7 linked regions of the Macaca mulatta genome follow. The protein of the gene in region 1 purifies or fractionates together with the protein of each later gene. This does not show direct contact. Links are inferred from orthologs where the notes say so. Each region holds a gene or a part of one and is shown in the gene's direction. Other genes may lie near its edges. The genes, in order: PRR3, METTL17, DAXX, RPUSD3, YTHDC2, RBMS1 and MRPL20.

What was found.
Region 2: the proteins of PRR3 (region 1) and METTL17 purify together in Homo sapiens (co-immunoprecipitation; 3 studies listed by BioGRID and IntAct, with this or other methods). This does not show direct contact. The link is inferred for Macaca mulatta from reciprocal best matches to the Homo sapiens genes PRR3 and METTL17.
Region 3: the proteins of PRR3 (region 1) and DAXX purify together in Homo sapiens (co-immunoprecipitation; 3 studies listed by BioGRID and IntAct, with this or other methods). This does not show direct contact. The link is inferred for Macaca mulatta from reciprocal best matches to the Homo sapiens genes PRR3 and DAXX.
Region 4: the proteins of PRR3 (region 1) and RPUSD3 purify together in Homo sapiens (co-immunoprecipitation; 3 studies listed by BioGRID and IntAct, with this or other methods). This does not show direct contact. The link is inferred for Macaca mulatta from reciprocal best matches to the Homo sapiens genes PRR3 and RPUSD3.
Region 5: the proteins of PRR3 (region 1) and YTHDC2 purify together in Homo sapiens (co-immunoprecipitation; 3 studies listed by BioGRID and IntAct, with this or other methods). This does not show direct contact. The link is inferred for Macaca mulatta from reciprocal best matches to the Homo sapiens genes PRR3 and YTHDC2.
Region 6: the proteins of PRR3 (region 1) and RBMS1 purify together in Homo sapiens (co-immunoprecipitation; 3 studies listed by BioGRID and IntAct, with this or other methods). This does not show direct contact. The link is inferred for Macaca mulatta from reciprocal best matches to the Homo sapiens genes PRR3 and RBMS1.
Region 7: the proteins of PRR3 (region 1) and MRPL20 purify together in Homo sapiens (co-immunoprecipitation; 3 studies listed by BioGRID and IntAct, with this or other methods). This does not show direct contact. The link is inferred for Macaca mulatta from reciprocal best matches to the Homo sapiens genes PRR3 and MRPL20.

The regions. Positions count from the first base shown.
Region 1 is NC_133409.1:152,487,934-152,491,881, reverse strand, and holds the start of PRR3 (proline-rich protein 3), read left to right. Parts: upstream 1-1,148; 5' UTR 1,149-1,198; coding exon 1,199-1,304; intron 1,305-2,029; coding exon of another isoform or gene 2,030-2,092; intron 2,093-3,948. Other genes in the region: GNL1 (guanine nucleotide-binding protein-like 1), read right to left, coding at 1-38.
Region 2 is NC_133412.1:93,838,574-93,842,733, forward strand, and holds the start of METTL17 (ribosome assembly protein METTL17, mitochondrial), read left to right. Parts: upstream 1-1,360; coding exon 1,361-1,435; intron 1,436-1,587; coding exon 1,588-1,741; intron 1,742-1,821; coding exon 1,822-1,956; intron 1,957-3,476; coding exon 3,477-3,558; intron 3,559-3,884; coding exon 3,885-3,966; intron 3,967-4,160. UniProt on the Homo sapiens protein: Mitochondrial ribosome (mitoribosome) assembly factor. Binds at the interface of the head and body domains of the mitochondrial small ribosomal subunit (mt-SSU), occluding the mRNA channel and preventing compaction of the head domain towards the body.
Region 3 is NC_133409.1:148,966,215-148,970,416, forward strand, and holds the start of DAXX (death domain-associated protein 6), read left to right. Parts: upstream 1-1,402; 5' UTR 1,403-1,447; coding exon 1,448-1,500; intron 1,501-2,371; exon of another isoform or gene 2,372-2,424; coding exon of another isoform or gene 2,425-2,441; coding exon 2,442-2,631; intron 2,632-2,781; coding exon 2,782-3,613; intron 3,614-3,757; coding exon 3,758-3,966; intron 3,967-4,121; coding exon 4,122-4,202. UniProt on the Homo sapiens protein: Transcription corepressor known to repress transcriptional potential of several sumoylated transcription factors. Down-regulates basal and activated transcription.
Region 4 is NC_133407.1:148,636,858-148,640,915, reverse strand, and holds the start of RPUSD3 (mitochondrial mRNA pseudouridine synthase RPUSD3), read left to right. Parts: upstream 1-1,258; 5' UTR 1,259-1,276; coding exon 1,277-1,377; intron 1,378-1,663; coding exon 1,664-1,800; intron 1,801-2,996; coding exon 2,997-3,041; coding exon of another isoform or gene 3,042-3,052; intron 3,053-3,156; coding exon 3,157-3,256; intron 3,257-4,058. UniProt on the Homo sapiens protein: Catalyzes uridine to pseudouridine isomerization (pseudouridylation) of specific mitochondrial mRNAs (mt-mRNAs), a post-transcriptional modification necessary for their translation.
Region 5 is NC_133411.1:122,452,071-122,456,246, forward strand, and holds the start of YTHDC2 (3'-5' RNA helicase YTHDC2), read left to right. Parts: upstream 1-1,376; 5' UTR 1,377-1,571; coding exon 1,572-1,758; intron 1,759-2,934; coding exon 2,935-3,025; intron 3,026-4,176. UniProt on the Homo sapiens protein: 3'-5' RNA helicase that plays a key role in the male and female germline by promoting transition from mitotic to meiotic divisions in stem cells.
Region 6 is NC_133417.1:65,311,886-65,316,010, reverse strand, and holds the start of RBMS1 (RNA-binding motif, single-stranded-interacting protein 1), read left to right. Parts: upstream 1-1,325; 5' UTR 1,326-2,332; coding exon 2,333-2,407; intron 2,408-2,928; exon of another isoform or gene 2,929-3,536; intron 3,537-4,125.
Region 7 is NC_133406.1:239,277,441-239,281,586, forward strand, and holds the start of MRPL20 (large ribosomal subunit protein bL20m), read left to right. Parts: upstream 1-1,346; 5' UTR 1,347-1,412; coding exon 1,413-1,499; intron 1,500-1,610; coding exon 1,611-1,721; exon of another isoform or gene 1,722-2,340; intron 2,341-2,617; exon of another isoform or gene 2,618-3,039; coding exon 3,040-3,117; exon of another isoform or gene 3,118-4,146.

The DNA.
Region 1 (3,948 bases):
TTCTTCTGCTTCACGCTAAAGGGCTTCTTCCTCGGCATGGCCCGGACCAGTCACCTGGCCCGCCCTCCGCCGAGCTCCTGCCGCCTCAACTGACTGCCCCCCGGGGCAGTCCCCGCCGCAGGGGCCCGGGACCCTAGAGGAGGCGGAGCTAGCAGGTGACGTCAGCGGGCGGGCCCGACCGAATTGCCGCCGCGGCGGCGATGGAAGGCGGACAGGGGAGATACACAGTCACTTCCCTCCAGGAGCGAGGCGAAAGGATGATGCGGGGTGGGCTACTGGCACGTGAGAGCCAGTAGCACCGAGAGAGCACCCCGGCGGCGAGGAAGGAGGCGCGCGTGGGAGGACCAGGCTAACTTCGTCACGGACGCTACCAACTCGCGTTCGGAGGAGGGGGGAGCGCGTGTCATCACTACCTTGCGCTCCCGGGAGAAGCTACCACTCACCTGGAGGGGGCGGCGGAGCGGAGGGCGGGGCCTATTACCTAGGGGAGAGGAGGAGTGGACACGCTGAGGCTACACTCCCAACCCCCAGGCTTGACCTTAGTGGAAAGCCGAGACGGTGCGTCCCGGGAATGAAGCCAGGTTGCTGGGCTACACCGGGGGCACGGTCAGAGGTCTTTAGGGGAGGGCGGCGGTCTGAAGAGTCCTGGCTGCCGACCTGCTGGGACCCAAATTCCTTGTGGGAACGATGATAAGGAGCAGGTTTACAGATCAGAAGTGCAAAAGCGGGCGAGAAGCGAAACCCAGGCGGGACAAGGGCTTTTGGAGGGAGGTCAAAGGGCACAAAGTTGTGCCTGCAGCTGTTACCATAGTAACCGAGGACCGGATGTGGCGATCTTACGGTGCGACAGTCCTCTTCTCAGGCCTTCTGGCCCGAGAGCCTGTTGACTCTGTGACACACTCTGAGGAGCTGGTTGTGGTGTTTTCCAGCGAGGGAAGAAGAGCGGAATTTTTTCAAAGCATTTATAGAAACGCAGCAAAAGGAAGGTGTGAGGTTGCCGCCATGCCTGGCAGAGACGGAGAGAGGCAGTTTACTCCAGAATGCGGCCGCCACAGATGTTCTCCGCAACCTTCCGGAAGTGGAATGGTGGGAGCTTGGGCATTGCTGCCCACCGACCCCCCGGAAGCGGAAACAGAATCCCCGCGTGCCCCTTCCTCACTACCCTCCAAATCCCGCTGCAGCCATTGCCGCAGCCACGATGCCGAAACGAAAGAAGCAGAATCAGCACCAGCCACCGACACAGCAGCAACCCCCACTGCCCGAGCGGGAAGAGACTGGAGATGAGGAGGATGGGAGTCCCATCGGTGAGGGGTCAGGGAGGGATGTGCACATGCCTGTCAAGCCCGTCCGGGCGAAGGGCTAGGGGCTAATAAGGTGCGAAGGAAGGGGCTCTAACGGAAGGAGGAAGGGCGCACGCGCTGGGTAGGGATGGCAGCAGGGCTGTCCCAAATGGAGCCTTGAACCAGGAGTTCTCTTACTGGAACCGTCAACCTCAATACGGCCCCAAACCTTTCTGGAACGCGGGGGTGGAGAGAGTAAAGAGCTCTTTTGCGCAGCCGCAGAACAGTAGGGGAAAGGGGCAGTAGAGATGTTGCAGATTGCGATGACTGGGTTGACAGTTTGTATCCGGATTTTGATTGAAAAGGTACAGGTGCCGCTTTCTCTAAACTAGTCCTCTGGCCGAGTGAAAGGAGAAGAGAACTGACTGGCCAGCAGTTAAGGTGAGGGATTGGTTTATGTCTGGAGACACTTAGGTTGTTTTGGATAGCGACGGTACGGTGAGGAAAAGAAAAAGTTGTATCTTTTCCTGCATTATCGCCTTTGATTGAATATCTACTTTTTGCAAACCCTGAAACAGCTTTGCAGAAAAAAGAGCAGATAGATGGGGTGAGAACTCCTAAGACTGCTGAAAATATACCTGACTTTACTGGTTGAATTAAGAAATGAGTAATACAAGAAAAACGCCTAAGAACAGAATCATCAGTCCTTTAATCCATTCTGATGACCATATTTTCATGTCTGCTCTTAGGACCACCCAGCCTTCTGGGCCCTCCCCCCATGGCCAATGGAAAACCTGGCGACCCTAAGTCAGGTGAGGAGGAAGGGGCCCTGATCCTTGTATTAGGTCGCGGATAAGACGGCAAGGGAGGGGATAAAACCCAGGAAGGACTTAAAAATCAAAAGGTCAGGGATTCCATCCCTAAATGAATGGAGAGAAGTTGTATATTTGCTGACTGAAAAACTCAATGTTGTAAAAATGTCACTTCTTCCCAAATTGATGTATAGACTTCATGCATTCCAAGTCAGAACACCCATAATGTTTTTGTGGAAATACACAGTATTATAGGGAAATGCAAAATATCAAGGTGAGAGACTGTCAAAACAATCTTGAAGTGGGAGGGCGTACTATGAATATCAAGATTTGTAAGCTGGGCATGGTGGCATATGCCTGTGGTCCCAGCTACTCAGGAGGCTGAGGTAGGAGGATCCTTTGAGCCCAGGAGTTTTTGAGGCCACTTGGGCAACATAGTGAGATCCTGTCTATAAAAACAAGAAGGAAAAAAGACTTACTATAAAGCTACAGTAGTTACAACGATGCGGTTTGGACACAATGATACACATAAGTCAACAGGACTTATGTCCCGAAGAGTCCAATAACAGGCCCATACATGTGTGGACACTTCATTTATGATGAAGATGGAACTGGAAAGTTGGTCTTTTCAATAAATGATATTGGATCAATTGGATATTCATGTTAAAAAATGGAATTTCACCTTGTAGTCATAATCATATTGTATAATGGACTGTAGATCTAAGTATAAAAGGTAAGAGAATAATTATTCTAGAAAGTAAATGTATTTTCTAAGAGTAGCTAAGAGTTCTTAAACAGATAAGAAATGTAGGTATACACACTAACCATAAAGGAAAGATTGATAAATTGAACTCCATTAGAAAATATAAATTTGCGGCCAGGTGCAGTGGCTCACACCTGTAATCCCAGCACTTTGGGAGGCTGAGGCGGGCGAATCACAAGGTCAGGAGTTCAAGACTGGACTGACCAACATAGTGAAACCCCTATCTCTACTAAAAAATACAAAAATTAGCCGGATGTGGTGGTGTGCGCCTGTAATCCCAGCTACTCAGGAGGCTGAGGCAGGAGAATCGCTTGAACCTGGAGGCGGACGTTGCAGTTAGCCGAGATCGCACCACTGCACTCTAGCCTGGGTGACAGAGTGAGACTGTCTCAAAAAAAAAAAAAAAAGAAAGAAAAGAAAATATAAACTTGCCAAATAACGCCATTAAGAAATTAACAGGAAGCTATACAATAGAAGATATTTGCAACAAATATAACCAATAAAGATCCTTTATCTATAATATATAAAGGATTCTTCCAGACAAGCCATTTGAAAAATCGACCAAAAAAAAAAAAAAAAGGACACCTTATTAAAATGGAGCTCTAAATGAACTAAAAGTCTAAATCAACAAGTACTCAATATCATTAATCGTCAAGTAAATGCAAGATAAAAATATACCACTTTGAAATTAGAACTCTTGTGTACTGCTGCTGGGATTATAAAATGGTGAAACTACTATATAAAACAATATGAAGAGATTCCTCTTAAGCAATTAAAAATATGTATGTATGACAAAAAAAATTAAAAATAGAACTACCCCAGAACTCCTGCTTCCAGGTATATAGCAAAAAAAAAAAAAAAAATGGAAAGCAGGGTCTTGACATATTTGCAGACTCATGTTCATAGCAGCAGTATTCACAATAACAAAGAGGTGGAAGCAACCCACATGTCCACTGATGGAAGAATAAACAAAATGTGGCGTGTACATACAATGGATTATTATTCAGCCTTAAAAGGAAGAAAATGCTGTCACATACTACAACATGGATGAACTTTGAGGACTTTATGTTCAGTAAAGACATAGTGTATGATT
Region 2 (4,160 bases), on another chromosome or scaffold:
AGGAAAAGCTAGAAAAGAGGCAAGTGTCAGCCTAGGACGTGTCAGTGGGCCCTGCATTCATCTACAGGAAAGGCGGTTCCGCATGGAAGAGGCAGAGCAGCCCTTCTCCCCTTGTCCACCCATGTCTTCTCACCCCGCCTCACCCCGAGATGAGGAGCCCTGAGAGAGCTGGCAGGCTGCGGTCGGTGAGGGCTGCAGATTTGAGGAAGAAGTCGAATAAGGGAGAGGACCACAGAAGGGCAGTCCAATTAGGGTGCTGGGACCTGAGATCCCTGGACCACCTGTGGTAGGGCCTGATGACCCAGGAGTCTAGCCCTCCAGATGAACTGGCTGGTTCCACACACAAGTCAAGTGGATATGCTGGGAGAACATCCTAAACCTGTAACAGAAATTAGGGGGGCAGGAACCCACAGAAATCACACACTGGGTGAGCTCAAGTGTTTGGAGACTGAGGTAGCAGTTGTGCACTGTCAGATTCCGAAAGTAGATATGGCCTTGCATATGCCATTTATCCTTCTGATGCTCTGGTGAATGAAGGAGTTGATGGCCTGCAGACTCTGGAGACATTACCCTGTGCTACATTATCACGTCACAAGAGTGGCTGAACCCACCTGAGATTCTGCACCTCAGGTAGTCACGACAGCATCTGTAGAAGTCCTAGGCCTGGGGGAAACAGTGTGATCTAGCAGCAGACTCAGAAGGGTCCCCGTCAGAACCAAGTTTTCTGTGAAGCGAGTTTCAGTCCTTTTCCCTGAAGTACCTAGCACGTAGGTGTTCTCAGTAAGTGTTATGTTAGCTTACTAAGAAGACTGGTCTCATTTGAAGAGAAATTAACAAATGTAAAAAAATAAAATAAAATAAACCGATTAACTAGGTTTTTTATCAAACTATTAACTATTCAATAATTATTTAACTATTAATTTCTGTTGTCTAAAGTCTCTTAAATATGATTTTTCTCTTCTCTTCCTTCCGTTACTGCAGTCTCCCTTTTTCACACAGGGAAACAACCCAAGACTCAGAGTTCTCCGCGGAGGAATGCAAAGAACACAGGAAGTCAGTATTCCCAGAAACAGTCTCTGCCAGTCAATGGCGCGCTCACACCCAACTCCATCCCGCCCCCGTCCCGCCCCACCCTCTTGATTTCTGGCGCCGGTGACCAAGCCCGACGCAGCCTCCAGCCCAAACACGGTTTCCGCCTCAAGGATATTTATATAACCATTGCTTATTGGCTGCTGGCAAACACTCGCTCTTCTGGTTGGCTGAAACTGTCGGGGGACGTTCTGCGAAGGCGGCTCCTTGCGGCGTTGTGACTGAGGGTCACAGGAACCTACATTTCCGTTTCCGGTTCGCCTCCGGAGCCATGGCGGGGGCACTGAAGTCTCTACTGATATTAGGAAGATGGTGCCCCGGCCTTGGAGTAGCTCCCCAGGCCCGGGTGAGTACCTACATTGCCGGCTCACGGAGAGACTCTGGATCTGCAGAGACATCTCCGCGCGGAGGAGGAGCGCTTCTGGCAGCCCCCGCCCTAGCGAGCGCCAGCAACTTTCCTTTCTGCCAGAAAATCAACCTTTCTTTCTCTGCCTGCAGTCGCTCGCCGCAGTAGTACCTGGAGTGACACAGATAGATAACAAGTCCGATTTCCTGCAGAAGAGGCCTCATCGCCAGCACCCTGGCATCCTAAACCTACCGCACGTGCGGCTGCCACAGGCACTGGCTAACGGTGCCCAGTTACTGCTACTTGGTGAGTAACGGCTGGAAAGGGAGAAGAAACGGGACTGGACCTGCATGCAAGTGATTCCGCTTTTCATCTTTGGCCCATAGAGAATGCTGGGCCCACTATGGAGAATCAGGTGCAAACACTGACCAGTTATCTCTGGAGCAGACATTTGCCTGTGGAGCCAGAGGAGTTGCAAAGACGGGCTAGGCATTTTGAGAAGAAATTTCTGGAAAACCCAGGTAGGACTTAATAATTAAAAAGTAGGCCAGATTGAAATGTCGGTTAGAAATGAAGAGTAAGAAATAATTTTGCAGTCTCTCGAACAGGTACTGAAGTCTCTTATTTGACTTTCTAACCAGAGCAGCAGTTGTAACAATGATGCCTTATTAAAAGAAGGTAGATTATTCTAGAGATTGCTTAGGTAAAGGTTAGAATGTCCCAGTATACTGTTTTTTGTTTGTTTTGTTTTTTGTTTTTGCTTTGAGACAGAGTCTTGCTCTGTCGCCCAGGCTGAAGTGCAATGGCTCGATCTCGGCTCACTGCAACCCCCACCTCCCGGGTTTAAGTGATTCTCCTGCCTCAGCCTCTTCACTAGCTGGGATTACAGGCGTGCACCACCACACCCGGCTAACTTTTGTATTTTTAGTAGAGACAGGGTATCGTCATGGTGGCCAGGCTAGTCTTGAACTCCTGACCTCAGGTGATCCACCCACCTCGGCCTCCCAAAGTGCTGGGATTACAGGCGTGAACCAACGTGCCTGGCCACCAATACACTGTTAAAATCTAGATACTTGTTTTTTTCCTGCACGTCCACTGGATTAGGACCTTCTAAGTTTTTATTCAGGTAAAATAAAGTCCCTGGATGACCTCTACCCAGTACTGAAATCCTCTTCTGGGATAAGAGGATAAATATAATTCATCAAGTTAGTTTCATGATTGTGAGCTCCTTAACATTACCATTTATTCATCTTGCATTCCCTGCACACCTTACAGTACCTGGCTCATAGTAGGTGATCAGTAGATACTTGCTCAATAGTACTGAACTGAACAGTCATGAGACCTAGATTTTCAAATTTCTTTCCTCTCCATAGGAAAAGTGGAGATCATCAAAACCTTAAATTTTGGAGAAGTGAAGAAATCCAAAAAATAGTGCCCTTTAATTTTTTTTTTTTTTTTTTTTGAGACAGTCTTGCTCTGTTGCCCAGGCTATATAGTGCAGTGGCACGATCTCAGCTCAACACAACCTCTGCCTCCTGGTTTCAAGTGATTCTCCTGCTTCAGCTTCCTAAATAGCTGGGACTACAGGTGCACGCCACCACGCCTGGCTAATTTTTGTATTTTTAGTAGAGAGAGGGTTTCACCATGTTGGTCAGGCTGTTCTGTTCTTGAACTCCTGACCTTGTGATCCACCTGCCTCAGCCTCCCAAAGTGCTGGGTTTACAGGTGTGAGCCACCACGCCCAGCTTACCCTTTAAATTTTTATCACACTTTCCTTTAATGCAAAACAAACCTGTGGAACAGGATTGATTAAGCTGAATAAATCATTCTTAGAAGCAAAATGCTATTTGAAACAATCTGTTAGTGGTAGTAGTTACTGTTAATTCTTGCCTGAAACTTTTCTCTAGGTTTGTTGTCTCTCTTGAGCTTTAAGACTTTCTTAGGTGGAGTCAGGGAGGACTGGGTGGGCAGTATATTCTGATATTGGATCTGAGCCCTGTTCTCCCTAGGTCCTGACTTCCAGTCCTTGTTCTCACCACAGACTTATGTCAGACAGAGGAGAAACTTCGTGGAGCAGTGCTACATGCACTACGTAAAACTACCTACCATTGGCAGGAGCTGAGGTAAGGGGGCCTAGAAGAGGTGCACAAGAAAGAAAAGGCAGAGAGAGTTGGGGGAGTACAATTACACAATCAATTTAGTATTTTTTTTTACATCACCTGACCTTAAAAGGATCAATTTAGTATTTGAAAAAGTTAAAGTTCGAAGTTTCGAACCCTGAAGTTTGAAAATTTAGTGTTTGTAAGGTTCCCCAGGACCCTTTTGTATTGGGGAGTGAAAGGCCTGAGCTGGAAGAGCCTTTTCCAAGATGTCATTTTCTAAATCTAGAAGGTAACTATGGGATTAAGGTTATTTACTAGTATGTATGACTCTCTGATTTTAATGGCAGCTACACTGAGGGACTGAGCCTGGTGTATATGGCAGCAAGACTGGATGGTGGCTTTGCAGCAGTCTCCAGAGCATTCCATGAGGTGAAAGTCCCTTAACTTCCAACCTGAACTTTTTGACCATCAGTTCCCTATTCATAAAGTAGTTTTCTAGGATGGGGATTCTTGGGACATTGCATATGCATTTTTTTTTAAAGAGGATCTCCGCTGGGCATGGTGGGCTCCTGCCTGCAGTCACAGCTGTTTGGGAGGCTGAGGCAGGAGGATTGTTTGAGCCA
Region 3 (4,202 bases), about 3.5 Mb from region 1:
TATTGTAAAAGGAGAAGTGAAGAATGAGAACCTGTACTGCAGGTGTTTCCTTAGGAAGACCAATTTTGGGAAAGTTGAGGTTCTGGAAATTAAATCCCTTACATCTCCCAAGTTCCAGTCCTCGCGGAGGTTTTTTATGTTCCCCATTTTGAAAGCTGTAGACTTTGACGACTGGAGAGAAGTGATGTGGGATTGTTCAATGGACGGGTGTTTGCGATTCTATGACTCAGCGTTAGGGATGTAGTAAATTCTGTGAACCTAGTTAAGCGGCAAGATGCCCACCACTTGTGGAAATGGGAATCTTTGCGATTGGGACCTTGTTAATCTTTCTGGTTTCCTCATAAGCTCACCTCTGGACCCAGCCTTGCCTCCACGACTCCCTCCAACCTCCCTAAACTCAACGAGGTGGGTATCAAGTCTGTTTCTTCATCTTTCATTCTTTTTTACCCTCTCCCAGAAGAGGAGGAGGAAACCCAAAGTATTTTATGAGCCTCATTTCGTTTCACAGCAGCCCTTGCAGAGGCTCAAACTCTCCTCCAAGCCCCACCCCATCATCGCCCATCCGCAGACCCTGGGCCTCCACGACAAAGCACGGCCTCACAGTCAGCACCGACGGCCCTTCGAGGACCCCCTCTGGAGGAGAACCATTCAGGTCCCAACCGTCTGGTCATTAGTTCTGTGGTGAAGCTTGAAAAGCAAATCAGCAACAATAGTAATAATAATAACACTTTTGTATGGCGCATTGTGCTTATTTGTACGCATGTGTTATAACGACTGTGGGACGCAGCACCTGGCAGTAGAAGCAGCTGCTGGACAGCGGCAAGGAGCGCGCCGCCCTTGCAGGGGAAGGGGCTGGGTCAGCCGAATAAGCCGTGGAGATGGGAACCTGGGGGACAGGAAAGCAGGGCCAGATAGCTTGCCAATAGCCTAGTTGAAGATAAAGGTTTTACTTCCCTTTTAAGAGACTTCTGCCATTCCCTGAAACCCTACGCAGCTTTGGAAAGCCTAATTCCTAAACCACCCTGTTCGGTTCCCCTGCCCCTCCTTGGAACGGAGGCTCCGTTCTCCCCACGCGCTACTCGCCGGCGGTTGGACCCCAGGGAGGAAGTTTCTGATTGGCGGAGTCAGAGAAGCACCGGGTGAAAAGAGCTCCTCCGGCTGCGCACCGAAGTTCTGGCGTAGCCAGCGCCGTACGGCAAAATGGCGGCCCCCAGCTGCTTTGGGACGCCCGGGTTCGGGGAGACAAACTCCGACCTGGAAGACAGCGCTGACTATGTGGGCGGCACTGGAGGTGTTCGCGGGGCGGGCCTACGGCCGCTTCCGGCCACAGGAAGCCTTGTTCCGTACGACAATATGGCGGCGCTTAGTTGCATGCAGGCGGAAACTCTGTTGCTTCCGGTCCGTAGTGGGGCCTGCGGTGGGAGTGGGAAGGAAGGCGGAGGGAACCATGCGAGGTTCTGAGATCTGCGGCGAGGGTCGCCTCGAGAGACGGTTTCTGAGGTGGGGGCCGGATGGTGCGGGGATCAGAGGCGGGGGCGGGGATATCGAGGCAGAGGTATTGGGGAGAGCCGGGCTCTGAGTCTGAGGGGAAAACTGTGGTACCTTCCTATCCCTGAAAGGGAGTGGGGCGGCCGGGGGCTGAACTGGGGGAGGGGGATTTGGCGGGAAGCGCATCTACCGGACCGGCCGGACCCAGGGTTGGGATCTAAGAGGAATCGGGAGAGCGTAGCGCGGTGCGGGGGGACTTCTAATTAGTTACAGGTCACCGAGAGAATGGGGAAAATTAGGGTGGGGTGAAAGGGAGGGGACTTGGGTAAAATATCTTCAACCTAAAGGCCCAGTTTGAGGAGACTCATCTGAGGGTGAAATACGGAGATAATTCAAGGAGGGGAAAAGAGAACGGACTGTTGGGAGGGAACCTCTTTCACCTCAGAGAGTCTAGGAGTTGGGGTGATCATTCAGGATGGGGCGGGTGTGGGGTTGACTTGTTTGAGGGCAGAGGGGGCAAACACATGAGGTGGCGCCCACAGGAGTGTGTTGTCTGTGCCAGGGGGTGTCAGGACGATTTAGGGTGCAGTGTGGGAGAAAGAACCAACTTGCCAACTCTGAGAAAGAGTGGGGAAATGCAACAGAAAGACCGGAAATCGACGTGAGGGGTGGAGCAGAAGGTGGCAACTTAAGGTGTGGGGGGGTTTGCCCCCCCCCACACCACTTGAAGGGCCCGAAAAGCATATAGAACTAATGGTTATTGAAATCAGGTGGTGAAGACAGTGTTGGTCAGGGCTGAAACCCAAGGAGTTCAGAAAATGCGTGAGGTGAAGGGATGGGGCTATGCTGGAGGGGCTCATTCTGAGGCCCCATCCCCTTCCAGCAGGAATTCTGAAATCCCCACCACTTCCTCCTTCCGGGGGATTTGATTCCCCCATGGCCACCGCTAACAGCATCATTGTGCTGGATGATGATGACGAAGATGAAGCAGCTGCTCAGCCAGGGCCCTCCCACCCACTCCCCAGTACAGCCTCACCAGGGGCAGAAGCCCCTAGCTCTTCTGAGCCTCATGGGGCCAGAGGAAGCAGTAGTTCGGGCGGCAAGAAGTGCTACAAGCTGGAGAATGAGAAGCTGTTCCAAGAGGTGAGCTTTAGCTGGGAAGATCATTGTACCCCAGGGAGGGGGATGGCTGACTGGCTCTCCTGTCCTTTCTTCCCCACTAACCCCACTCCCCTTTCTCTCAACCCCCTCCCTTGTCTCTCTTCCCCTTCCTTCTTCCCCTGAACCTTCTAGTTCCTTGAACTTTGTAAGACGCAGACAGCGGACCACCCTGAGGTGGTCCCATTCCTCTCTAACCGGCAGCAACGTGCCCACTCTCTGTTTTTGGCCTCGGCGGAGTTCTGCAACATCCTCTCTCGGGTCCTATCTCGGGCCCAGAGCCGGCCATCTAAGCTCTATGTCTACATCAATGAGCTCTGCACTGTTCTCAAGGCCCACTCAGCCAAAAAGAAGCTGAACTTGGCCCCTGCTGCCACCACGTCCAATGAGCCCTCTGGGAATAACCCTCCCACACACCTCTCCTTGGACCCCACAAATGCTGAAAACACTGCCTCTCAGGCCCCAAGGACCCGTGGTTCCCGGCGGCAGATCCAGCGCTTGGAGCAGCTGCTGGCGCTCTATGTGGCAGAGATCAAGCGGCTGCAGGAAAAGGAGTTGGATCTCTCAGAATTGGATGACCCAGACTCCACATACCTGCAGGAGGCACGGTTGAAGCGTAAGCTAATCCGCCTCTTTGGGCGACTATGTGAGCTGAAAGACTGCTCTTCACTGACCGGCCGTGTCATAGAGCAGCGCATCACCTACCGTGGCACCCGCTACCCAGAGGTTAACAGGCGCATTGAGCGGCTCATCAACAAGCCAGGGCCTGATACCTTCCCTGACTATGGGGATGTGCTTCGGGCAGTAGAGAAGGCAGCTGCCCGACACAGCCTTGGCCTCCCCCGACAGCAGCTCCAGCTCATGGCTCAGGATGCCTTCCGAGATGTGGGCATCAGGTTACAGGAACGACGTCACCTCGATCTCATCTACAACTTTGGCTGCCACCTCACAGATGACTATAGGCCAGGTAGGGGGTTAGTGGGATGCCTCTCAGTGACCCTTATATGTCAGGTATGAGGCGGATGGGGCATCTCTCTAGTCCTTTCTAGGGTTTGTACTCTTCTAGTCCCTTCCACGGCTGAGTGCTCTGACTTTATATTTTCCCACGTAGGCATTGACCCTGCACTATCAGATCCTGTGTTGGCCCGGCGCCTTCGGGAAAACCGGAGTTTGGCCATGAGTCGGCTGGATGAGGTCATCTCCAAATATGCAATGTTGCAAGACAAAAGTGAGGAGGGCGAGAGAAAAAAGAGAAGAGCTCGGCTCCAAGGCACCTCTTCCCACTCTGAAGACACCCCCGCCTCCTTGGATTCTGGTGAGGTGTGGATGGGGTAAAGCCTTCAGAGAGACATTGTCCTTCCCCTGCACTGGCCACCAGGGAGTCCAGGTTGACTGATGGGGGAGCATGAGAAGGAATGCAAGAACCAAACCCTCTAGGGCAAGGGATTCCTTAGAGAAACTTCTTTGTCCCCCAGGGCCCTAGTGGAATGGCATCCCAGGGGTGCCCTTCTGCCTCCAAAGCTGAGACAGATGACGAAGAAGATGAAGAGAGTGAT
Region 4 (4,058 bases), on another chromosome or scaffold:
TACAGATATTGTATAGAAAAGTACTGTGAAAATTCCTATCCTGTTTTGTTCCGATCTAATTACCGGTGCGTGCAGCCCCCCAGTCACGTACCCTCTGCTTACTCAATTGATCATGACCCTCTCACATGCACCCCTTTAGAGTTATGACCCCTGAAAAGGGACAGGAATTGCCCACTCAGAGAACTCGGCTCTTGAGACAGGAGTCTTGCTAATGCCCCCGGCCGAATAAACCCCTTCCTTCTTTAACTCGGTGTGTGAGGAGTTTTGTCTATGGCTTGTCCTGCTACAGTACTCCATCTCATCTTTTTACTTTGCATTTCCAGTTTGCCTTGCACAAGGTCTCTTCTTCCTCTGTGGCTCCTCCACTTACATGTGTCTACCTGCTAATTGGACAGGAATATGCACACTAGTTTTCCTTACTCCCAAAATTCAATTTGCAAATGGGACCGAAGAGCTTCCTATTCCCCTCATGACACCGACACGACAAAGAAGAGTTATTCCACTAATTCCCTTGCTTGTCAATTTGGGACTTTCTGCCTCCACTATTGCTCTTGGTACTGGAATAGCAGGCATTTCAACCTCTGTCACGACCTTCTGTAGTGTTTCTAATGACTTCTTTGCTAGCATGACAGACGTATCATAAACTTTATCAGTCCTTTAGGCCCAAATTGACTCCTTAGCTGCAGTTGTCCTCCAAAACCACCAAGGCCTTGAGTTACTCACTGCTGAAAAAGGAGGACTCTGTATATTTTATTTTATTTATTTATTGAGATGGAGTCTTGCACTGTCCCCCAGGCAGGACTGCAGTGGCCGGATCTCAGCTCACTGCAAGCTCCGCCTCCTGGGTTCACGCCATTCTCCTGCAGCAGCCTCCCAAGCAGCTGGGACTACAGGTGCCCACCACCACGACCGGCTAATTTTTTGTATTTTTAGTAGAGATGGGGTTTCACCGTGTTAGCCAGGATGGTCTTGATCTCCTGACTTTGTGATCTGCCTTCCTCGGCTTCCCAAAGTGCTGGGATTACAGGCATGAGCCACCGCGCCCGACCAAGACACATTTTCTTCACAGATCAAATTCCTCTGCCTGAGCTCTCCCCAAAAGCACAGGCCCGCAATGCTGTATTTCCTTCCTGGGAGAAGGAAAAGCCCGCCTCCTCCGGCTCTGAGTCCCGCCTCGTCACCATTCCGATTGACACTCAAGCTGACCAATCAGCGCGCTGGCGGGAGCGTGGCGCTGCTCCTCTGAAAGCACATGCGCACTGTACTGACTCGGGAGATGGACGGCCGCCGTGTTTTGGGTCCGATCTGGAGTGGCTGGCGGCGGGGCCTGGCTGTAAGCACAGCGCCCGAGGACGCAGGCTTTGGCATCGAAGCCCGGTGATTAAGTACCCCCTCCCTCATGCGGGACGGAGGCTAGGGCAGCGGGAAGGCACGTGCGGGATCTGCATCAGGTAGATGTTACCCGAAAACAGCCCCTTGGCCTCTCTCAGCCTCGGTGCCCTCGACTGTAGGATGGGACCGGTCTACCTGAATTTTCGAGGTCAGCCTAGACATTGTGAGGCATTTGTCAGAGGCCGCAGGTTTTGGGAAGAGGCGTCGGGAGATAGGAATGGGCGGCACCTCGGGACGGAATGACTCCCATTGCTTCTCCCTCGTTGTCCAGGCATCACAGGCAACCCCGCGGCTCCCGCCTACGGTCGGGGCCCCTCGGGGACCAGCCCTTCCCGGGGCTGCTGCCAAAAAACCTCAGTCGGGAGGAGTTGGTTGATGCGCTGCGGGCAGCCGTGGTGGACCGGAAAGGTGAGGGGTGAGAGGCACGGCCGCACAGGGATCGGGAGGGGACTGCCGCGGAGTGAAGCCACGGGATCAGCCCTGCTTCTGCCTCCCACTAGCAGCATGAGCTGGGACGAGCCACCTAATTTGCACCCTCTCCCCGCTTTTAACCTTACCGCCATGATGCAGTAGGGTTAAGAGTGGGGAGAGGATGCAAATAACTATCAAGCCTTGCACATAGCCGGCGCTCAGTTACAGGAGTTGCTATACTAGATTATTGTTTATTGGCCGCGGTGGCTCACGCCTGTAATCCCAGCACTTTAGGAGGCTGACGCGGGCGGATCACCCGAGGTCAGGAGTTCGAGACTAGCCTGGCCAACATGGTGAAACCCCGTCTCTACTAAAAATACAAAAATTAGCCAGGTGTGGTGGCGTCCGCCTGTAATCCCAGCTACTGGGGAGGCTGAGGCAGGAGAGTCACTTGAACCCGGATAGCAGAGGTTGCAGTGAGCCGAGGTCGTGCTACTGTGTTCCAGCCTGGGGCAACAGAGCAAGACTCAGTCTAAAAAAACGACAACAAATTATTGTTTATTGATAGACAAAACACAGGCTTTGAGTCAGACATCTAGGCTCTGTGATCAGCTTGCTGTGTGGCTTTAGGAAAATAACTGAATTTCTCTGAACCCCACTCTCCATTCAGTGATTTATTTCTTTTCTCAACTATTTCTTAAACATATGCTGTGTTCCAGGCACTGTTCTAGGCAGGTATACAGTGCTGAAAAAGATAGATATGGTTTCCGCTCTCAAGGGAGAAATGGATTTCTCTCTAATGGGAGAAATGGGTGTCAGAAAATAAATGAACAAGTTACTAGTGATAAGTGCTATGCATAAACTGAAACAGGATGTTCTAATGGTGAGGAACTGTAGGAAGAGGGCAGACGTTGGATTGGAGATTCAGACCTCTCTGTGATGTGACATTTGAGCCAAGGTGATAGGGAGCCAGACCTGGGAAATTTGGGGACAGAGGAAACAGTAAGTGCCAAGGCTCTGAGGTGGCAGAGGAACAGAAAGCAGTTCAGTTTGGTGTGCGGTAGATAAGTCACGTCTGAGAGTCATGATGGGGCCATGTGCTAAGATGTGTGAGAAAGTGCTCTGGAAATTCTTAAGTGCTGCATAAAGGGTTACTGTTGCTTTTGCTGATGTTCATGTGATGTATGTTTCAGGACCTCTAGTGACGTTGAACAAGCCACAGGGTCTACCAGTGACAGGTACAGGCCGGGTATGTGGGAAGGGAATGCAGCAGAAGGGGGTTTTGTGTCTGGGGAGGGAAAAGTGAAGGCGTGAAGCTTTGGCCTCTTGTAATTTTTCTTTCTTACTTTCCAGGAAAATCAGGAGAGCTGACGTTGTTGTCAGTGCTGCCAGAGCTGAGCCAGTCCCTGGGGCTCGGGGAGCAGGAGCTTCAGGTTGTCCGAGCATCTGGGAAGTAAGTGGTAGGGGTGATAGGAAGCTAGGAGTACAGGCATCCATCTATGGTGGGGAAACAGCTGCTTTGGGATATGCTGACACATTTTCCATAGGAAGGTTTGAGATCGTAGAGGTGGATACAGGTACAGTGAAGAGGAGGAAGCTGATGACTCTGGGTTCAAATCCTCAAGTACAAATGGTGTGATACCAGGCAAAGCATGACACCTCCCTGACGCTGGGCACAGTGACTCACGCCTGTAATCCCAGCACTTTAGGAGGCCAAGGCAGGAGGATCACTTGACCCCAGGAGTTCGAGACCAGCCTGGGCAAAATAGACCCCATCTCTGGAAAAACAACAACAACAAAACCTTCCCTGAGGCCGGGCATGGTAGCTCATGCCTGTAATCGCTAGGACTTTGGGAGGCCGAGGTGGGAGGATTGCTTGAGTCCAGGAGTTCAAAACCAGCCTGGGCAACATGGCAAAACCCTATCTTTACTTAAAAAAACAAAACAAAAGAAACACACACACACACACACACACAAGCTGGGCATAGTAGCACATGCCTGTAGTCCCAGCTGCTCGGGTGGCTGAGATGGGAGAATCACTTGAGCTCAGGAGATGGCAGCTGCAATAAGCTGAGATCCTGCCACTGTACTCCAGCCTAAACAACCTGAGTGAGACCCTGTCTCAAAAAAACAAAACAAAACAAAACCCTCCCTGAGCCTCAGTTCCCCTAATGGTAAAATAGAGAAAATAATACCTATGCTTAGTGTGCAGTCATTTCTCCATGACTGTACTCGTGGCAGGCATTGCTAGTCGA
Region 5 (4,176 bases), on another chromosome or scaffold:
CATAGTTGTCAGTGGCCTAGCCTAAGCTTCTTTACTTTGTGGAAGAAGAATTCTCAGCCTCAAAACAGGGTAAACCTTAATGCACAAACACCTTTCAAGGCCCTGCTTATCTCATATTTGCTGATGTTCCAATGGCCAAAGCAAGTTACATTGCCAAGGACAGAGTCCATATGGGAAGGAAGAATACAAGGGTGTGAACACGGGAATGTGTGATTCATCAAAGCCATACCTTTGATGAATTCAACAATTTACCATATTGTTACAAAAAAAAAAAAACTCCCTAAATCTCAGCAGTTTACCACAACTAAGGATTATTTCTTACCCATGTCATATTCCAATGTGGGTTGGTGAGGACACTCTATCACACTCATTCAGGGGATCGGGAACCTGCTATCTATCTAGTGGTTCTACCGTTGTCTAAGAACTTCCAGAAGACCAGGAAAGGCAGAGAAGGGAGACTTCAAGGAAGGTGTTACAGACCAATCCTGGAAGTGGTGTACATCAGTTCCAGCAACATTCCAATGGCCATGTGAACTCAGCCATGTGGCCCCCAGCTAACTGCAGGGGAGTTGGGAAATATCACTCCTAGGAAGAAAAGGAGAAACATTTTTTGATGAGTATCAGTATTCTATGCCACAGTTCATACTTCTTGTCACCAAATATTCCACCCCCTTTTTACCACACACAGAATACACGTATATCCTCCCCAGACACCTGGAATTCTATCTAGTCACTGCATCCAGGATCTGTTGTTGATACACAGTCCTCTTTATTAGATTCAGATGTGTATCCTTATTGCCAGGTAACTCATGAACTATGTAAATATGTACTACGTACCTGTCCCCACTCAGCTACCCTGTGTAGCGTGATAGAGCAAGGGTGGCATACTTGCATTAAAATCTCCCATTCAGAAAAGGGAAGAATGCAAGACACCTAACAGTCGCTCATTTTTTAGTATATGTATTTTTTATGATATTTTTCCAAATGTTGCACGGGAAATATATATACTAAAAAGTATTCGTTTATCTGAAATGCAAATTAATTAGGCATTCTGTATTTTTATTTGCTAAATCTGGCAACCCTCCTCCTACTATAATATAAATTCCATGAAGGTAGGAACCTTCTCCAATGTATATCGAAGGCGTGGCATAGTGCCAGGTCCACAGTGGGAGCCCATATATGCTTACTGCAGGAATTAATGAAGGACTAAACGAGATAGCAAGGGAGTGAGTAAGAAGACGAGGAGCGACCCTTGGCGGGCGGCGGGGGAAGAGGACCGCACCACAGCTCGGCAGAGCCTCCCTTAGGCGCGCAGCGGCGGCCGCGCTGAGGTCACGGGCGTCGGCCCTGGTGACGTCATTACGCCCGCGCTCCCCGCCTTGCCGTGATATCAACGGCGCAGGTTTCACTTCTGCTGTTGTGGTGACTGAGGGCTTTCTGGTGACTTCAGCCCAACGCAGGCCGTCTGCGGAGCCGCCGGGTAGTGGCCCCGGAGTCCCACGGTCTCTGTCATTGGCTGTCACCCAGCAGGCCTGGCCGCTCCCGTGCGGGGAGACCATCTCTTCAGGGCAATGTCCAGGCCGAGCAGCGTCTCCCCGCGGCAGCCGGCTCCTGGCGGTGGCGGAGGCGGTGGCCCCTCGCCGTGTGGCCCTGGGGGCGGCGGGCGGGCCAAGGGGCTGAAGGACATTCGCATTGATGAGGAGGTGAAGATCGCAGTCAATATCGCGCTGGAGCGCTTCCGATACGGGGACCAGAGAGGTGAGGTTCCCGACAGGGACCCTGCTGGCCGTCAGGACACCCCCTTACCCCAGCGCCCCCCAAACCTGGGCCCACCGAGTGATGGGGTTGCCTCCGAAGAGGGAGGGAGGACCCGGGCCACCGTCCGGGTCGGGCCTCAGCGGCGGCACCCGGGTCTGGAACGCGGCTGTTAGCCCTGCGGTAAAATGCGAGGTGCTCTGCGCATTAGTGGGGTTATGGGCACTTTGCTCGCTAGCTGCAAGTGTTTTTTTCCCCCGCGTCTTTCAACAGCCTTGGGCGGTTAAGCCACCGTGTTTCAGATATTGGTTAGCCTTAACCCTTAAAAAAATTTTTTTAAGGGAGTGTCACCTTAATTGTGGCACGTTTAAGCTACAGATGTAGAAAAGCAGAAAGAAATCAAACATATAAGTAAGTGCACCGGTAATACGTTTGAACCCTGAAGCAATCACGCTACCCACTTAAACCTGTTTGGCACACGAAGCCTCTTCCACACCTCCTGAGGTTAGAAAGCCGCTTGTCTTGGATCATATAGTGCAGAACCAGCAACTGACCTGTGGTGACCTGTACAGTATGTTGAGGGCTCATTCGGACCTGCTGGCTTAATTAGGGGACCTCTTACTCTGGACTCTTTATAGTCAAAAATGGGGAATGTTCTGGACAGAGAGATTGTGAATTCACATTAAAAAAAGAGAAAGCCTCAGCAGTATATAACAAATCCCTCTGAAATAGTGAAATATGAATTCTATACAGTTTCGAAAGCAAAGACAATGGAGTTTCATGTTGAGAATTCATAATGTTTGAGCATATCTCATCATTTATTTTGTTAACTAAACAAGTAGGGACCAAGTTAAATATGTTCAGTCATTATACCAACTCAAAATTCCAGCACAAGTAAGAGGAGTCGTTTATTGGTGAACATCAGAGGCCTTTATCACATTTAGGTTTAATACATAGATGTCTTTTTATCAATATCAGAATTCTGGTAGACGTTCAGTAGTTATTAATAAAATATATTAGTATTATTAACTTAGAATATGAAATATAAAGTAAGTTAACCTCACATAAAGTATAATAAATTTGATTGTCTATGTTTTTCATATTTTATGTCTGTGTGTATTACTTGAGAGAAAATTGCCTACCTACAAATTGTACTGCTTTTATTTTTTTCTCATGTAGAGATGGAATTTCCTTCTTCTTTGACCAGTACTGAAAGAGCCTTTATTCATCGACTCAGTCAGTCTCTTGGTTTGGTCTCTAAAAGTAAAGGGTAAGCTGGTAGCTTTTCTTATTGTTTTTAAAAAAAGATTATTTGCTCAAAAAAGGGAGAATGTTTCTGAGTACGTTTAAGTAGTTATTACTGTTTTAACTTCACATTCTTAGTTGTATCCTGTGTAGATAAAATGATTCAGGTCTGTACCAAATTCACCTCTTTCCTCTTCCTTCTATCTACCTCTCCCTGCCTTTTTTGTTTTGTTATCTTTTTCGCTAGGAAAATGCTTTTTCCTCTACCCAGCTTAGGTTCCTTGGCTGGGACCCTGCAAATTAGACTGATAAAAAACATATTAACAAGAGAAAAACATAAGCTTATTAAGATATGCATCATGCATACATAGGGGAAAACTCGATAGTAACTCAAACATGGGGCTTATGTGGCATCTTAATAAAGAACAATGAATTTATTTAAAAAATGACAAGACAAAGGAAAAGGACTTTGAACTTGTAGGTGCAGTAAATTGTGGGAAGGTATATATGGGGAAACTAATGGAAGGTATGTGTTGTTTTAGCAAGGTTGGTTATGTAGGTTCCTCTGGTGCTGTCTCTGGGTTAAGAGTCTAGAGTGGTTTCTCTTATTAAGAATAGTCCTGCCCTTTCTGGTAAAGCAGGGGAGGGCAGAGTTCTTTTAGGTCTGCTTCTTCTCAATTGCCTTCAGCTCAAAATAATCTTTATGGGAGAGTGACATATATTTGGGTGGCATACTCTGAACTCTTTCAAAGGTAAATTTTAAGATGTAAGAAAAAAATAGTTTAAAAGTTGAAGTTGATTTCTTGAGAAAAATATTTTTATTTTTTTATAGAAATGAAATCTCATTTGAAATATTGATGTACAAAAGATAATAAGTACAATTATTTATGAAACTTATGTCTTTTACTGTTACTGCACTGTAATAGTAAGCTTTAGAACATATGTTCATTGTTTTCTTTCCTACCAAGTCAAGAATCGGATGATTAGAAATAATTTTAAAAAGTGGTACAGGAGGAAATTGTTTTGTTTTGTTGGGAGGATCACAGAGCTACAGTGGGGAAAAGTCATTTGAGCCATCCAAACTGAAAAACTCTAAATTCTGTGGACCTATTTCATTTTGTCAGTAAGGATGGTGGGATCAATATAAAGGAAGCTTTCTCACTGTTGGTGCTGTTG
Region 6 (4,125 bases), on another chromosome or scaffold:
AATTGACCCAGAATCATTTATTGAAAAGTTCATTCTTTCTCCACTGTGCTATAATACCAACTCAGTCATAAATCAAGTGTCTATATAAGTGTGGGTCTGCTTTTGGGTTCTCTAAAACAGGCTGAATTTCCATCATCCAGAAAAAAACAGTAAGTAGAACAGTCTAAGTTTGGTAGTTTCCCTTATTACCTCAAACCTAGAACTTCTGCGATTGTTCTCGATTTACTTCTCTTCCTTCTGTCACTCTTCCAAACCATCATTCCTAGTCTTCCTAAAGCACAATTTAGTTCATGTCAGTTCTCTGTTTAAAAACATTAAAGGGGCCCACATTGAAACAATATGGGAAATATTTTAGGCTCCCCTAGTCTGACAGTGACCCACTCCACCTTTCAGGTCTGCATGCACCTCAACAGTGCCTACAATATAGCAGACACAGTAAACATTAGCTTCCTTATAGGATTTTACATAGGTAAATGAGAGGGACATGATTTGCCTCCTGGCAGACCCAAAACGTGCTCACCTATACTTATATTTATTTTTTGTCAAACATGTATGATCTAGAAATTTGTCTAAACCATATAACGATTATAAGGGCTTTGGGTCTCTATTTTGTCATTGCTTTAAAGTATCTTACTAAACCTGTTTTAAAATGTTATTTAAAAATAATAACTGTTTAACAAAATAATGCATTCCAGTTGAGTTTAATTTACCTTGTGCTATTAACAAAAGACTCTCCAAAAACCAAAATGACAAAGTAATCAAGGTCTATTTAATAACAAACACTGTTTTTATTATATTTTATTAGATGTGCCGGAACCCTAATTTGAGGATGTTTGCTTACCTATGCTATCCGTATGTACGTTTTGGTATTAGCTCTCTTTTTGAGCTGGAAATATAAAAGTCTTCTGCAGGCAGCTTCGGGGACCAATTAACTCCATTAAATTATATCCAGTTATGTAGTGAACTGAACCACTGCTGGTCTGGGGTTGTCTAGAGCTGTGACAATTAGGAGATGGAGAGAGGCAGAAAGAGAGATTGATTTTATATGTCACTGAAGCACACTGCAACAATATGCCAGCGTGACTTTCAAAATGGCCTTAAAATATTCCAAACTCAGGGAGTTTCCTTGCTCCTGAGTGGGAGTTGACAGACTGTCTGGCAGCATTAGAAAGAGGCAGAGAAAAGCTGATGTCTATATTGTGTCCTCTAATAACATTCTGCCTCTTTGCGGCATCCCCCCCTTAGAAGGATCCGTCTATTTGTTGTGAGGGGTGTGTGTGTGTGTGTGTGTGTGTGTGTGTGTGTGTATGTGCTTTGCCTCCCCTTGTGCAAGGGGCATGATTTCACCTCTCACATCTGGGAAAACCAAACCGAAGGACGCTAACCCTCCCAAGGTCACCTAGATTAGTCTTGTGGCCCGGGGTGGGTGGTGGGTGGGAGGAACAGGACCCAGGTGTCCGGACTCCAGCTTTGTTGGGCATTAAATCATTTTCCTTCCCTTGTGAAAAAAAATTACCGGGCGATGGGAAGTGAGAGATTAATCAGATTTCCTCTTTTCCCTTATTTCCCCTCCCCCTTACGAAGATAAAAACTCGGGAAAGCAGAAGAGGTGCCCGCCCTGCAGTTCTTAAGCGGGGTCCCCCCCCGCATTCCCCCTCCACCCTCACTCCCACTCCCATTTCCCCACCCCCGACACAAAGCGATCTGGACTCCCAGGGCTTCCGCCAGTCCAACCGCGAGCCTAGGAGGTGAGGAGTGGTTAAAACTCAGCCCTCACCTCCGCGGGTCCCGGGCTCGGCGTCGCCCAGGCCCCGCCCCCGCCCGCCCTTCCCCCACGGCCTCGGAACGCCAGCCCCTCTCCTCTCTCCCATTCGGGCGCACCCACCCCAGATGCCGCCTGGCACCGAGCGCAGCCGCCGCTGCCGCACTTTCCACTTGTATTGATCACCTCTCAGCCCCGCGCAGCCAGCTTCCCCGAGCGGACCGCGGCCAGCGCGCCAGCCCTTGGCAGCCCCGGAGCAGTCGGGCTCCGGGAGGAAACTCGTTGGGAGCGCCCTGTCCGGGGTGCCCTCTGCGCTCTGCAGTGTCTTTCTTTCTGCCTGGGAGGAGGAGGAGGAGGAGGAGGAGGAAGAGGAGGAGGAGGAGGAAGAGGAGGAGGAGGAGGAGGAGGAGGACGTCTGGTCCCGGCTGGGAGGTGGAGCAGCGGCAGCAGCAGCCGCCGCCGCCGCCGCCGCCGCCGCCGCCGCCGCCGGAAAGGGAGAGGCAGGAGAGCCCGAGACTTGGAAACCCCAAAGTGTCCGCGACCCTGCACTGCAGGCTCCCTTCCAGCTTCATGGGCAAAGTGTGGAAACAGCAGATGTACCCTCAGTACGCCACCTACTATTACCCCCAGTATCTGCAAGCCAAGGTAAAGGGGCACCGGGGGGAGATGACGGCCGTAGGAGGGGGTCCGGGGGTGCGCGCGGGGTCGGGCCCGGGGAGGGGCGCGCAGCGAGCCCCCGCCGCCCCCGGGCGGAGTTGCTGGAAGGTTGCTAACTATAGCGCTGGCCTGGGCAGAGCCGGGCGGCGCGCGGGGCGGCGGCTTCCCTGGGAGCGGAGTGCGGGGATCGGGTTACAGAAAGGCGCGGGGGGAGAGACTAGACAGGAAAGAGCCACCAGCCCCTTCCTGGCCCGGCCAGCGGGGAGGGTCGCGGGGCCGAGCGGCGCCCCTCGCCGAGCCCTGGCCGGCCGGCCGCCGTCGCCTGGCGTCCGCGTCTGGATCCGCTGGTGGCCCGGCTTTTCGACCCCTTCTCCAAGGGCCTCGCCCTGTAAGCTGTAACTCTTTGCTCCCCTCGCCGTGGAGGCGGGAGCCTCCCGCCCCCCAGGGACGCCCCTCCACCTCCCGCGCGCGCAGCGACTAGGGTGGAGGGGCGGCGGGGCCGGGACATTTTCCTCCCCGCCTCCGGCCCTGCGCGCCCGCCCCTCGCCTCTGATCTTTGTGCGGTGTGGCACTTCACCTGGTTACTGATTTCTACTTTTACGCTGGTGTTTTGGGTAGAAAAGTGGCCAAAGTTCACTCGCGTTCATTGATGTCCTTTCTAATCTCTAGAGGTTTTGCAAAGGAGGGACAATGGGCAGATTTCAGTGCAGAGAAAGAAGTGACTTCGTATTTGGTTAAAAAAGAAACAAAAACAAAACTAGCTTATATGTTTGCCACAGATCGATTTCCAATGTTGCTTTTTAAAAAGTGACCTCGGCACACTCTGGGTAACAACAGCTGATGACATGTAGTCATACAAATTGCGCCTGGCTTTCTAGGGACCCTAGGTACTTTGTTAGTGGGCCTATCTTATTTTTACAATAAGAATTTGATGCCTCCCGAACTCATTTAAAAAAAATTGTTTGGGCCAGGAAGACTGGAAATTTCACTGCTTTGGAAGCAGCCGCCAGAATTTGGGAGGGTGGAAGTTGGACGCAGCGGCCTTCTTCAGCGTCCTTCTTCTGCCATTAACATCTATCACAACTCCGGGTGCCCTTCTAGATCACAAAAGTATCAGGTATGGATGCAGTGTACCAACTTTCTTTGGGAGGTTGTAATCACGCTCTGCTTGCTGGTAGTTGGGCATTTCCGGCCTGATACAAAGAATCTCTGATTCAGCCTTTTCTTTCTTAGAATGTGTGTGGTCCACGTTTTCATGTACTTACGACATAACCCTGTATTTGTCTACGTAAAAAGGACACTTGTCAGTATCTAGACCAGAAATGTCCTAGCACTCCAGGGCCTCATTTTCACTTCACCCAATTCCCACTCCACTTTGGGTCACCAGAAAGCAGCAAAATGGTAGCAGCAAGGATACCCCTTATTCATCTCTGTGTAGTTTTCACAGTATTTGTTTTCAGGAACTTGCAGGAGATGCTAGTTTTCTGTGAGCTACATGGAAGGTGTTCAAAGAAATTTTGTGGCATAATCAATGCACTGCCTTTTAGATGTCTTATATATTTAATGCACTTGTTTAAATTATGCAGCATTGGGTGGCTAAAGGACAGCTTATTCAACACTTAACAATATGAATAATAAATACACCCACTCAGGTGAAGAAGAAAAAAAACCATGTTTCTACAGGCACATTTACCTTAGTAATTTTT
Region 7 (4,146 bases), on another chromosome or scaffold:
CAAGGACAAGGTTGGGGGTAGGGTCACAGATTAATAGCATCTCAAATACAGAACAAAATGGAGTCTCTTATGTCTACTTCTTTCTATATAGAGGCAGTAACAGGCTGATCTCTCTCTTTTCCCCACAGGAGGTGAATTTGGTTCGAGAGTATTAAACAAATGGAACAGTTGGCACGTTTCCGTAGCAAACACTGGGGAGTTTTCCTTGTACTAGTATTCCAACTTTTCTATGATTAAGAAAAAATCATATCCAAGTATAATAAAAAGTTACAAAGAAACTGCACACCTCCCATCATTTTTGTGGCAATATAGCAGAAACATAAAATTACCCATAATACAAAACTTTTTTTTTTAGAGACTCTGGCTCCGTTGCCCAGGCTGTTGTGCAATCTGAGCTCACTGCAGCCTCCACCTCCAGGGCTCAGGCGAGCCTCCCGCCTCAGCCTCCTGAGTAGCAGGGACCTCAGGCGCGCGCCATCACCGCGCCCGGCTAATTTCTTTTTAATTTTTTGTAGAGCTTGGGGTCTCACTATCTTGCCCAGGCTGGTCTGGAACTCCTGGACTCAAGTGATCCTCCCCCCTCGGCCCCCGAAAGTGCTGGGATTGCAGGCACTGGCACCACCGCGGTCATTTGCCGTTTTGGAAGCTTAGAATTTCTAGGGCGGGCGCGGTGGCTCAGGCCTGTAATCCCAGCAGAGGCCAGGAGTCCGAGAGCAGCCTGGCCAACGCAGGGAGACCTCCCCCCTACAAAAAACACAAAAAATTAGCCGGGCTGGCGGCGCGCGCCTGACGTCCCCGCTACTAGGGAGGCGAGGGCGCCGCGAGCCCGCCGCGAGCCCAGGTCCGGCCGCTGCACCGCAGCCAGGGCGACCGGGCGAGACCCCGTCTCAAAATGAGTAAGTCAACAAGGAGAAGGCTTCAGGGGCAACGGGCACTTTCCCAGCGACGCGACCATCTGCACCTCGGTTCCTGAACATTCTCGTGGCCCTAGGAGGCGGCCTGGCCCTCCCCGCCCGCGCCACACCCGGCGCTCCCCGGCCCCGGCGCCCCCGTCCCGAGTCCGCTGCCCTCATGGCGCCCTCGGAGCCACAGCTGCGGCCGGGCCGTGCTCCAGGAGGATCCGCGCTGCGGCTGCTGTTTATTCATCGCCCGCGGATGGCCACGGGCGCTGCGGCCCCTTTTTCCTTTCAGTCCCCGTCAGGGCTCCACACCCGCTCCCCTACAAGCGCCACCACCGCGGGTTCAGAGACTCAGCCCGGCACCCGCGGGCTGACGGGAGACGACCTTCGCCCCGGAAGTCATCGCAGGCGCTGACCCGGAAGCGTTCGTGACCGCTATTTCCGACCCGGGCAAGATGGCGGTGGCGCGGCGCATGCGTTGTTGAGTATACGGGACGCCGGCCTGCAGGCACCATGGTCTTCCTCACGGCGCAGCTCTGGCTGCGGAATCGCGTCACCGACCGCTACTTTCGGATCCAGGAGGTGCTGAAGCACGCCAGGGTGAGTGCCGCTCGCCCGGCGTGGGCACTGGACGCGCGGGAGATCCCGCGGGCCAAGGGGCGGCCGGCGCGGGCCTCGCTGACAACCTTGGTTTCTCGTTTTCTGACCCAGCACTTCCGGGGGAGGAAAAATCGCTGCTACAGTTTGGCGGTTAGAGCCGTGATTCGAGCCTTTGTGAAATGCACCAAAGCCCGATACCTGAAGAAAAAGAACATGAGGACCGTAAGCGTGGACCCGGGACACCGGCCGGCCAGGGCGCTCTCGGCCCCTGCGTCTCTGCTTCGCGACCCAGCGAGTGTGCAGCCGCTCGGCCACCCTCAGCTCCTTCCTTTCTTCCTTTCATACCTCGCTTCGAAACTCCGACAAATTATGTCGCCCCGCAGGCTGACTGTGGGACATCCGTTCTCCCGCCCCCCTCGCCACCCCCACTGTCAACCCCTGCTCCAGCCCCTCGCCCGGGCCACTGCAGAGCCGCCTTGCCACTCTTCCTGCGTCGCCAGCCACCGCCCTAGTCGCTGCTGCTCTCATCTCCCCTCCGGTGGCTTCCCTTCCCTCCGACAGCTGAAGTCAACCCAGCCCCTTGCCCACCCTCCAGGGCCACTGTCTGCTGCCGTGGTGGTCCTCGTAGAGCCCACGCCTGCTGGCAACCTCTGCACACCCGGAACCCCCGGCATTTTTGAGAGGCTAGCGCCTCCACTCTGTCCACGTGCCATCTCATTTCTGCGCCTCACCACTCCCACCTCAGCCTCATGAACCTACCATCTAACATACCCGTGTTTTTGTTTTTTTTGTGTTTTTTTTGAGGCAGAGTCTCGCTCTGTCGCCCACGCTGGAGTGGCTCGCTGCAAGCTCCTCCTCCCGGGTTCACGCCATTCTCCTGTTGGGACTACAGGCGCCTGCCACCACGTCCTAATTTTTTGTATTTTTAGTAGAGATGGGGTTTGACAGTGTCAGCCAGGATGGTCTCGATCTCCTGACATCGTGATCCGCCCACCTCGGCCTCCCAAAGTGCTGGGATTACAGGTGTGAGCCACCGCGCCCGGCCGTTTTTTTTTTTTTTTTCCTTCCCACGGAGTCTCACTCTGTCACCCAGGCTGGAGTGCAATGGCGTGATCTAGGCTTAATGCAACCTCCGCCTCCTGGGTTCACGCGATTCTTCCACCCCAGTCTCCCGAGTAACTGGGACGGCAGGTGTGCATCACCAAGCTAATTTTTGTGTTTTTAGTAGAGACCGGGTTCAGCTATGTTGGCCAGGCTGGTGTCGAACTCCTGACCTGAAATGATCGGCCTGCCTTGCCCTCCTAAAGTGCTGGGATTACAGGCCTGAACCACTGCGCCCAGCCAGGTTTTTGCTGTTTTTAATTTTGAAACAGGGTCTTGATTTCACTCAGGCTGGAGTGTGATGTCACCATCATAGCTATTTGCTTTTTTTATTTTCCTATTTACTTTTAGAAAAATATTCCTTAGTTCAATTAGAGCCTTTGCTAGGACATAACATCCAGAAGTCATTTTTAAGTATCTCCATGTTTTCTTATTTCAGCTCTGGATTAATCGAATTACAGCTGCTAGCCAGGAACACGGCCTGAAGTATCCAGCGTTCATTGGCAATTTAGTGAAGGTATGGGTGAGCATGTGGGCCCTGCTGAAATTATGGATATCTGCAGAAACCATCATGTGGGGTGTGGCGGTGCCTCCCATAGCCCAGCGACTCAGGAGGCTTTGGCCAGAGGATCCCTGAGACTGACTTCTGGGCTGTAGTTTTCTTTGCTGATGGGGTGTCCATGTTAAGTTTGGTATCAATATGGTGACCTCTTGGGAGCAGGGGACCACCAGGTTGCCTAAGGAGGGGTGAACCAGCCCAGGTTGGAAACGGAGCAGGTCACAGTTCCCATGTTGATGAGTGATGGGATTGTGCCTAGGAATAGTGCCAGCAACAGCCTGGGCAACATAGTGAGACCACTCTCTACAAAAAAAAACTAGTAAAAATAGCTGGGTGTGGTGGCACAGACCTGTAGTGTCAGCTATTGAGGAGTCTGAGGCAGGAGGATCACTTTGAGCCCCCAGGGGTTTGAAGCTGCAGTGAGCTATGATGGCACCACTGCACTCTAGCCTAGGTGAGAGCGAGACCCTGTCTGACAAAGAATAAAGAAAGCCATGGCCGGGTGGGGTGGCTCACGTCTGTGATCCCAGCACTTTGGGAGGCTGAGGTGGGCAGGAGTTGGAGACTATCCTGGCCAAGGTAGTGAAACCCTGTCTCTACTAAAAATACAAACATTAGCCGGACGTGGTGGCAGGCACCTAGAATTCCACCTACTCCGGAGGCTGAGGCAGGAAAATCGCTTGACAACTTGGGAGGTGGAGGCTGCAGTGAGCTGAGATCACGCGACTGCGCTCCAGCCTGGGCAACAGAGCAAGACTCCATCTCAAAAAATAAATAAAACCCTCCCATCAGACCTGATCCAGCCCAGTAGTGGTCCATGCAGCAGAGGTGAGGGGTGCCACTCCCGCCGCACTGTAGCTGCACTCTGTCTTTGTGTGGGGTTCTCGCAAGTCTGGGAGCTTACCACACTGGTTGGCAGCAGAGCAGAATTGGAAACAAGTCATGTGTTTCTGGAATGTAAGTCCTGATGTTTCCCCATTAAGAGAA